Linked DNA regions of Cricetulus griseus. The protein of the gene in region 2 purifies or fractionates together with the protein of the main gene of each other region. This does not show direct contact. Links are inferred from orthologs where the notes say so. Each region holds a gene or a part of one and is shown on either strand. Other genes may lie near its edges.

The links. Proteins that work in one complex are often made in the same cells at the same time.
Region 1: the proteins of Nuak2 (region 2) and Ppp1r12a purify together in Homo sapiens (affinity purification with mass spectrometry; 3 studies listed by BioGRID and IntAct, counting the BioPlex papers as one, with this or other methods). This does not show direct contact. The link is inferred for Cricetulus griseus from reciprocal best matches to the Homo sapiens genes NUAK2 and PPP1R12A.

The regions. Positions count from the first base shown.
Region 1 is NW_023276806.1:147,071,355-147,075,502, forward strand, and holds the start of Ppp1r12a (protein phosphatase 1 regulatory subunit 12A), read right to left. Parts: upstream 2,805-4,148; 5' UTR 2,577-2,804; coding exon 2,340-2,576; intron 1-2,339. UniProt on the Homo sapiens protein: Key regulator of protein phosphatase 1C (PPP1C). Mediates binding to myosin. As part of the PPP1C complex, involved in dephosphorylation of PLK1. Capable of inhibiting HIF1AN-dependent suppression of HIF1A activity.
Region 2 is NC_048598.1:56,849,909-56,853,868, reverse strand, and holds the start of Nuak2 (NUAK family SNF1-like kinase 2), read left to right. Parts: upstream 1-1,159; 5' UTR 1,160-2,764; coding exon 2,765-3,007; intron 3,008-3,925; exon of another isoform or gene 3,926-3,960. UniProt on the Homo sapiens protein: Stress-activated kinase involved in tolerance to glucose starvation. Induces cell-cell detachment by increasing F-actin conversion to G-actin. Expression is induced by CD95 or TNF-alpha, via NF-kappa-B.

The sequences.
Region 1 (4,148 bases), on a different chromosome or scaffold from region 2:
GATAAAGAGCAATAGCTGAGTTTCTTTCATTGCTTTTAATGAGAGCTCATTCAACCAATAAATAAACCTTTAACTACAAACCACTTATAAATGTAAGGAAAATGCAGGTGTTGAATGTAGTTGTGGGTTGTGAAGTACCCAGAACTTGTCTCCTGTTAACAAAAACTTGGGTAATTTTATCCAAACTAAAAAGTTGAGTGAATATTCAAATAGACTAAAGAGAAATTAGGCTGGGCAAATATTTCAGTTATTTTATGATCTTTTGAGTACTAAAATATTTGACTAGTCACCCAATCAGTTATGCAAAAGGCATAAACTCAGAAACTTCTCCTTATGTGCCTGTTAACCCAAATGAAACACTCAATAATAAAGACTATTAAGTACACGCACCAAACCACTGAATTCAGTTAATCAAGAAGATATCAGTGGGTCTAGCCTCTTTAAAGAAGTAAAAACTGAGAAACAGTCTTTCAAAGACAATTCCATGTGTTTTCTACTGCCTAAACAGCTTTTACAATATTAAAAAAAAAGAGAGAGAATTGGCCCTCTTCCTTCAATCCAGTAAATTGTCTATAGGGTAACTTTACATTTCTACTTAGCAGTGTTAGAAAACACACTGATATGAACCATTATCCAAGTATTCTGACATACAGTAACTGTGTTTCAGAAACAATTTCACACTAAACTTGCACAGACATTTGAAAGGAAACTTCAGGGTGTTTTTCCCCCCATTTTATATAATTACATTTTTTTAATGCCAAAGTTGCTTCTCAAAATCATGCTTTGTGATCTTGACTTATACTATGCTTTAAGCTTTAGGCAGATGCACTACATTAGAGATACCACGCTGTACTTTTCACTGGGTGCCACTCTGAATTCCAGATCTGTCCTGCAAATTGTCAGTCATTTCAACCCTTCCAGTCAGCTCTGTAAACAAAGGCTAAACGCCAAGTGTGATATTCGAGTTTGATTAAATAAAACTTAAAATGGTCATCGCTTACTAAAGCAGGAAGCAATATAAGGAAAATATACCATGCCTTTCTAAAAGGTACAAAGTTAATAGCCACAAAATGTAAAGTTCAGATACAAAGTGTGAAGCCCTAACTTTCAACCACCCAAACGAGTTTTTAACCACAGTATTATTTAAAATAAAACTGATTTTTCACACAACCAGGACGATTTTGAGATAGCCAGATAAGTCTTTTTCATTGTCAATTTCCTAGTAATTCCAAGTTGCTTAATATGAAAATAAAAGAATTTATGCCATGGCACCTATTACCAGCACTTAAAACTTGCTTTTCAAGCAGGACTCTTAAGGGTTTTGTTGCTTTTGGCTTGTTAAAGGCAAAGCAACATTATCTCTGGATTGCCAATAGTTTCTCCTTATTTGGCTAACACTGAGAGATCCCAATCGGACTACTATAAAACTTTAACGTGCACAGAGCATCCATTTTGAGAAAAGATTGTGATTAGCTTTCTTTTTTTCTGCCCCCACCCCAAAAGAAAAATACAACAACAAAGTTTGGCAACTGACTTTGAAGAGTGCAGTGTTTATTCTTCTCTTTCTAGCTCCGCTGCACACTCCAGGAGCCAGGACTCAGGGATCTGTGACACTGCGACAAACTCTTCGAGTACAGGAATCCATAGATTTCAGTGGAGAAGTGGGCAAGCCCACTTGGGAAGACTCCCTTACCCGATACACGACCATCCCCTCTCTTTCAGCCTCTGCAGATTAGCTAATTACACCCCGTTTTCCCCTCCCCAGTGACCAAGAGTAATAAAGGAGAAAACAGGAAATCGTTCGCTCAGGGCACCGGGGCTATGGTTCTTGATTACTATTATTATCATCATCATTTGTAATCAACTCCTAAAAAAGTACACCAAAACCAATGTTCACTTCCAGGCCAAGGGGGTCCATTTGCCCAAGTCACCCTGTTAGTGGTTTTCTACATCCTCCCCCCCCCCCACACCCAACAGTGTATTACTGACACCGGGCCTCGGCACAATCCATTACACACTCCTGCTCGTCTTGACCCAGAGCACCAGACACAGGTCCACAAATGGCCCTTGGGGTTCCCCCCCACAAGACCACAGTCCCATCTTGCCCCGCGCCCAGGAAACCAGCCGGCTCCCAACTGCAGAGGCAGCGAGCGGGGTCTGAAGGGGCCCCGGAGCCCCGCGGCCAGCCTCCCCGGACGGAGCCGCCCCCTCACCCGCAGCAGGGAGTCTCCCGCCACCACCCCCGGGCCTCAGGACCGGCGACCGGGAGAGGCCCGGGGGCGCGAGAACGGCGTGGGCCCGGGGGTGGGGGTGGGAGTGCGAGCGGCGGGCGCACAGACCTGGTGCAGGGCGGTGAGTCCGTCCACATTGGCGTAATTGATGTCGGCGCCGCGGTGCAGCAGCTTGAGGACCTCGTCCGTGTCGCCGCTGGAACAGGCGGCCAGGAAGACGGCGCCATCGTCGAACTTCACCTTGGTCTTCTGGCGCTTCACCACGGGAGGCTCGAGGTCCGTCTCCGAGCCGATCCAGCGCTTCAGCTGCTCGTTCCGCTTCTGCTTCGCGTCCGCCATCTTCATCCCCCTCTCCTGCCGCCGGCTCTTCTTATCGCGAGCGGGGGAAGGGGGCGGCGGCGGCGGCGAGGGGACGCGGGGGGTGTGCGACCGTGGCTGCGAGAGCGGCCCGGAGCCGAGCTGCGAGCCGGGGAGGAGACGCTCGAGACTTCCAGTATCCCACAGAGCACTGGGGCGAGCCCGGCAGAGCTGGACCTCTCTTCCTCCCACAGACGCCCTCCCGCCCCCGGCACGACCGCCCGCCCGCCCGTCCGTCAGCCGCGGCCCGGCTGAGCGTAACTTCGCGAGATCCGGGCCGGGGAGGCGCCCCGCGGCCAGTGCGCATGCGCGCTCCGCCTCCCTCCTCCTCCTGTCCCCTCCCCTCCGTTCCCCGCCCTCCGGCCCGGCCCAGGAAGAGCGCGGCCGCCCGAGTGTGGCGGCGGGGGCGCCACCGGAGGGAAGCGGGTGTGGCTGTGACTGCGGGGGCTGGGACGATCCTGGAAAGGGAGGGAGGAAGCCGGGAAGGAAAGGTTGTCCTGCGGGACCGAGAGCTCTGGAGAAACGCCGGCCGCTTGGCCGGCTGGAGAAGCGGGCGGTACCGGGCTTGACCTGCCTCCGGGGCTCGCCCTGCCGCGCGACGCGTCTGCCCAGGGCGGAGGGTTTTCCTATTGGCTGCGTGATTTGAATGGAGTGGACACAGGTCGAGCCTTAGGTGCTTGGCGGTGCTCTTTCCAAGGAACTCGGGTGAACCCGGGCTGCGCAGTCTTGATCGAGAGCGTTTGAAAAAAGTGGGGTGTGAGCCTTCCCCACGGCCCTGGTGGCTGTGACCGAGGTGATCGCCTACTGACAGGGGTATGATGACCTACGGTAATTGCGGTCGCTTCCTGCTAACACCCACAGCAGAAATGTCTTTCCTCTTAGGCTCGCTTGTTATTGTTGTTTTGTTTTTTCTGTCTCTTTAAGCCTGTTTTGATTCCTCTTCCTTCATGGCTTTCAGCCTGTGTGTGTGGCACTGCCCAGGAGGTTAGCTCAGCCTTGTTAACTGGTCCTGACCTTTTAAGGGATTTATGGTTCCAGCTCCATTGCTTTCTATGGAGTAAAGACCCGGGCTGCGTCTAGAATTCAAAAGGCATGTGGATAAAGGCCGTTAATTCGACCAATACTTATCGAATACCTGTCTAGTAAGTCGTGACTTCCCAGGCACTAAAAATACAATAAATATAATTTCTTTGAACCCATTTTGTAAATTCACGTGCTGTAAAAGACATTATCATAAAGGGGTTTTAACTTTGCCTTTTCTAAACACTGTCTCCCACCCACCCACACACTTCAAGTCTATAATAAGTCAGAAAACCCTACCATTGAATGTTTTGGGCTCCTCTAGAGTCTACAGTCTTGAGACTGAGATTTCCTCCCAGAAAAGAAAACAGTTTCAATTCTGAGTCAGGCTTACAGGGGCTGCCCATCTCTGTGCCCTACCCCCCTTCTGGTGATACTACAGTGAAAACTTATTTTCTTACTCTCATCATATTGCTTTTCGTAGACTACATTAGAATAATTGAGTAAAATCTGCTTAGGGAATTACCTTCTTATAGAACT
Region 2 (3,960 bases):
AACCGAAAATTTCCTGAGAGCGAGAAGCTAATTATTAGTCATCCCCCAAGATGTGCCTGACACCTGCCTTCCCCACCCTTCCCCATCCCTGCCCCCCAGCAGAGCCTTGCAGCCTCTCATCCGTGCTCCTGCCTACACCTTACACCTAGCACATGCCGTAGTATCTCGATCTGAGGTGCTCCCGCATCCCACCCAGTCCCCAACATGTGGCACATTCAGACTACGGTGTGCAGGAGGACAGGAGCGGACACTTCTTCCCAGTAAGTACACAGATGGCTTATTTTCCTCAAGGGTCTTTAAGCAGTTAGCTGATGATTGGGTGTGAGGGTGAGAAGTGCCTCTTCTTAGGGCTGGAGTGTGAAGCAGATAGGACCAAGAGTGGCTCCCTACTCAGTCTAGACATCCCAGCACATCCTATACAAACATCTAAACCCAAGATTGGAGTCACTGAGCCACCTCCCAAGCCTCCCTTTATAGAATAAAAGTTGAGTTCCAGTACTTGGTTGCTCTATTCAGTAGCTCTTAAATAGTCTTGTTGTTGTTTATTTTGTTTGTGGGGCTACTTTGCCTGCATATATGTCTGTGCAGCACAAGTGTGCCTGGGGTCCTTGGAGCCCAGAAGAGACCACCAGACCCCTTAGAACAGGAGTTGTAGCTGGTTGTGGGCCAGAGTACCGGTGTTGTGAATTAAACCCTGGTCCTTTGGAAGGCAAAGCCAGTGCTCTTAACTGCTGAGCCGTCTCTCCAGCCCCTTTCAGTAGTTCTAATGGCCAGGTCTGTTTGTCTGCCTCCACTCTACATCCATTTTGGTCAGTGTGAATCCACTGGCATCTTGATCTGCTCAGCAGTACACCAGGAGATGTTTAAAAAATAGTGATACGCTTCTAGATCAAGTCTTTTTTGTTGTTGTTGTTTTGGTTTGGTTTGGTTTTTTGTTTGTTTTTCGAGACAGGGTTTCTCTGTGTAGTCCTGGCTGTCCTGGAACTTGCTCTGTAGACCAGGCTGGTCTCGAACTCACAGATTTCTGCCTGCCTCGGCCTCACAAGTGTTGGGATTAAAGGTGTGCACCACCATCTGTTTTAGATTAAGTCTAAAAGGGAATCTTGGGTTCCTCTGAATAACTGTTTATCTTATGAGAAAATCTTGATCCAGCTAGCTAATTGCCATTAGCCCTTCAGTCTCGGCTTTGAAAGCCCTGTTTTTAGGAAGAGCCTCCAAAAACTAGCCTCCTTTCTTCTGGAGCCCCCTCCAGTTCTCATGTCAGTCTCCCAGCCTGAGCCTGCTCTTCAGAGTCCAAATCGGTCTGGATGGGCCTCCAGGACCCGGCACACATTATCAATGTAGATCGCAGGTCAGATGAAACTTCTCCTGGGCCTTTTTACTTTCACAGATCACTCAGAATGGGAAGGCATGGTGGCAGAAGATAGGACGCCAAAACAGCTATACAGTTTGTGGGCAAAACAGATTCAGAGAGGGTGGTTCCTGGTGGATCTTTTCTGGCTGTAGAGGGCTCCAGGGAAACATGGTGATACCGGTCATTTCCCCTGGAAAGACTCAAAAGGTGAGCAGAAGTAGAAAAATGAGCAGATACTAGATTAAACAACAACAAAACTTGATAATTGAGGATGTGGTTCTGTCTGATTCTCTGCAAGCCCTGAAAACACAGCTGGAGATGAGGTGATGCAGAGGCGGGAGGATGGGCAAGTCCCCTTGTCCTATGTTCTCATCTCTAAAGGTTATCATCAGAATCCCAGCTCTGTGGCTTTCTTGCCAGCTGTGTGGCCTTTGGTAGAAGTACACTCACTCTCTACAACAGAAAAGAGGGCTCTGGACTTAGCCTTCCAGGTCTCTCTAATGGAGCAAAATCTCATACCCAACCACCTGCTCTTCTGGCTAAAAATCACAGGAAGAAACTCTGGGACCAGGAAGCGAGCTCCTTATAGATTTAGGGACACAGGGTAGTAAGTCCCTGGAGTGTGATGCACTTTTTTCAAGAATGAAAAATCCATAAAGACGACCACTTCTTGAGGGAATCCACTCAACCCTATAAATCCTTTTGTTTTTCCCCAGAAGAGGTAAGGACTTGGCCTGTTGGATTCCTGAGTCCATTTAAAGTTGATGGAATCCAAGCAGCCGGGTGAACTTAGTTGCAGGGCAGCTAGCTCTCCACCCATGTTTAGCTGGAGTCAGCCCTCATCCCATTCCATCTCCTTATTCACTTTCTCCTTTATGTGCCTGAAAAGGTTATCAAATGGCTTTACAGATTTTTTTTTTCCTTGGGAGAAGCAAATTACTACGTGTGGAGAAAAACTTAGATCCTTCTAGTGCCCCTCAGATTGTCCCTTGACAACCCAGAAAACTGCACAATCGAACAGGTTGGCGCCATCTAGAGGCAAAAGCAATTCAGAGAGCCTTCAAAAGTAAGGACCAGCACTTCAGTAGTAATTCGGCTCAACCTCCTTTCTGGCATTCCGAGCCCTCGGGCCCAGGTGGGCGGGGCTCCATTCACACCTTTCCGCGCCTAGCCAAGGGGAGGAGGCGGGGCAGGAGCCAGTGAGCCAATGCCATAGGCCTTGGTCACGAGTCGCCGGCAAGCGGGCCAATGGGAGTAGGGGGCGTGGCCAGGGCCTTCCCCCTCCAAACGTTTTATAGCAATTTGGAACGCGAGGCTTTCCAGCGCGCTGGGGTACGGCTGTGACCTCTGAGCCCGAGGCTCTCCACGCGCTGCTGCTACCCGACCCCCTCCGCCTCGCCGTCCCGCACAATGGAGTCGGTGGCCTTCCCCCGGCGCGCGGGCCAGGCTCCATCAGCCTCCGCCCTGGCTACCGAGCGCGCCCGTGCGCTGGCGGACGGGCTCATCAAGTCGCCCAAACCCCTGATGAAGAAGCAGGCGGTGAAGCGGCACCATCACAAACACAACCTGCGACACCGCTACGAATTCTTGGAGACCCTGGGCAAGGGTACCTACGGGAAGGTGAAGAAGGCACGAGAGAGCTCGGGACGCCTGGTGAGTGCCCCTCGCAGCGCCCGGCTCCCGGGAGCTCACAGGGCGTCCCTCGCGGTGTCCTCGGTTGAGTTGCCTGGCGCGCGCATTTTAGATGTGTCTATCCCAGGTTTTCAGGGACAGTGCTCGTGGACCTGAGAACCTTAGCAGCACCAGATGCCTGTCGTTTGAGAAGATGGGGCTTAACTTGAATTTTCACTGGAACAAACTTCTACGGAGTAGAATGGAAGGAGGAAGTTGAAAGGACCAGATCTCAGTAGATGGATGAGGTGTGGAGAGATCGTTAACTGAATTGACACTTGGGTCCTTTCCAGCCGAGACTGAATCAAAGTTTCGTTATGATGGGCTTTGATTCTGGGAAATGTAAAACCAGGATCTGGTGCCGGGTCCACTGTATTTCGAAGCTTTTAGGGGAACTTGTCCAGTTGATTTCATGCGTGTGTAATCGCCATGGTAATCTGTAACTTTGAGCAAGTTCCTTAATCTTTGTATTCTGTTTCCCCTTCTGCAAAAACAGAACACAGCCTATCTCACAAGCTGCTTGAGAAGGAGTGTGGGTCCTGATCACAGGTCTTGTACTGAGAATGGATGCTTATATCTGGAAAGCGATCCCCCTCCCCCTCAGGATAGCAAATCTACCAAAACTTACACAACAGTGGTTTTCCCACTCCAGTTCAGTGGGCCTAGGCAGTACTAGCTGGGTACTTGTTTAAAATGTCCAGTCTCTCATTTCCCACCAAGCAGAGTGTGTTATAAAGGTCTATAATTCATACTGTAGCAAGCCTCAGAGCAGGTGGTTTAGGGATTATGTTTTGCCAGATCCAGTGAGTGCTGGTTGTAAGGGTGTGTGTGTATGTGTGACCATAGTTTGCCCTATTGACTATGGCAGTGGTCCCCTCCCCTAATTGTTTGCTTTTGCAGCCAGTAGCTGGTTTGAAATTCAAGAAGTCATTTCA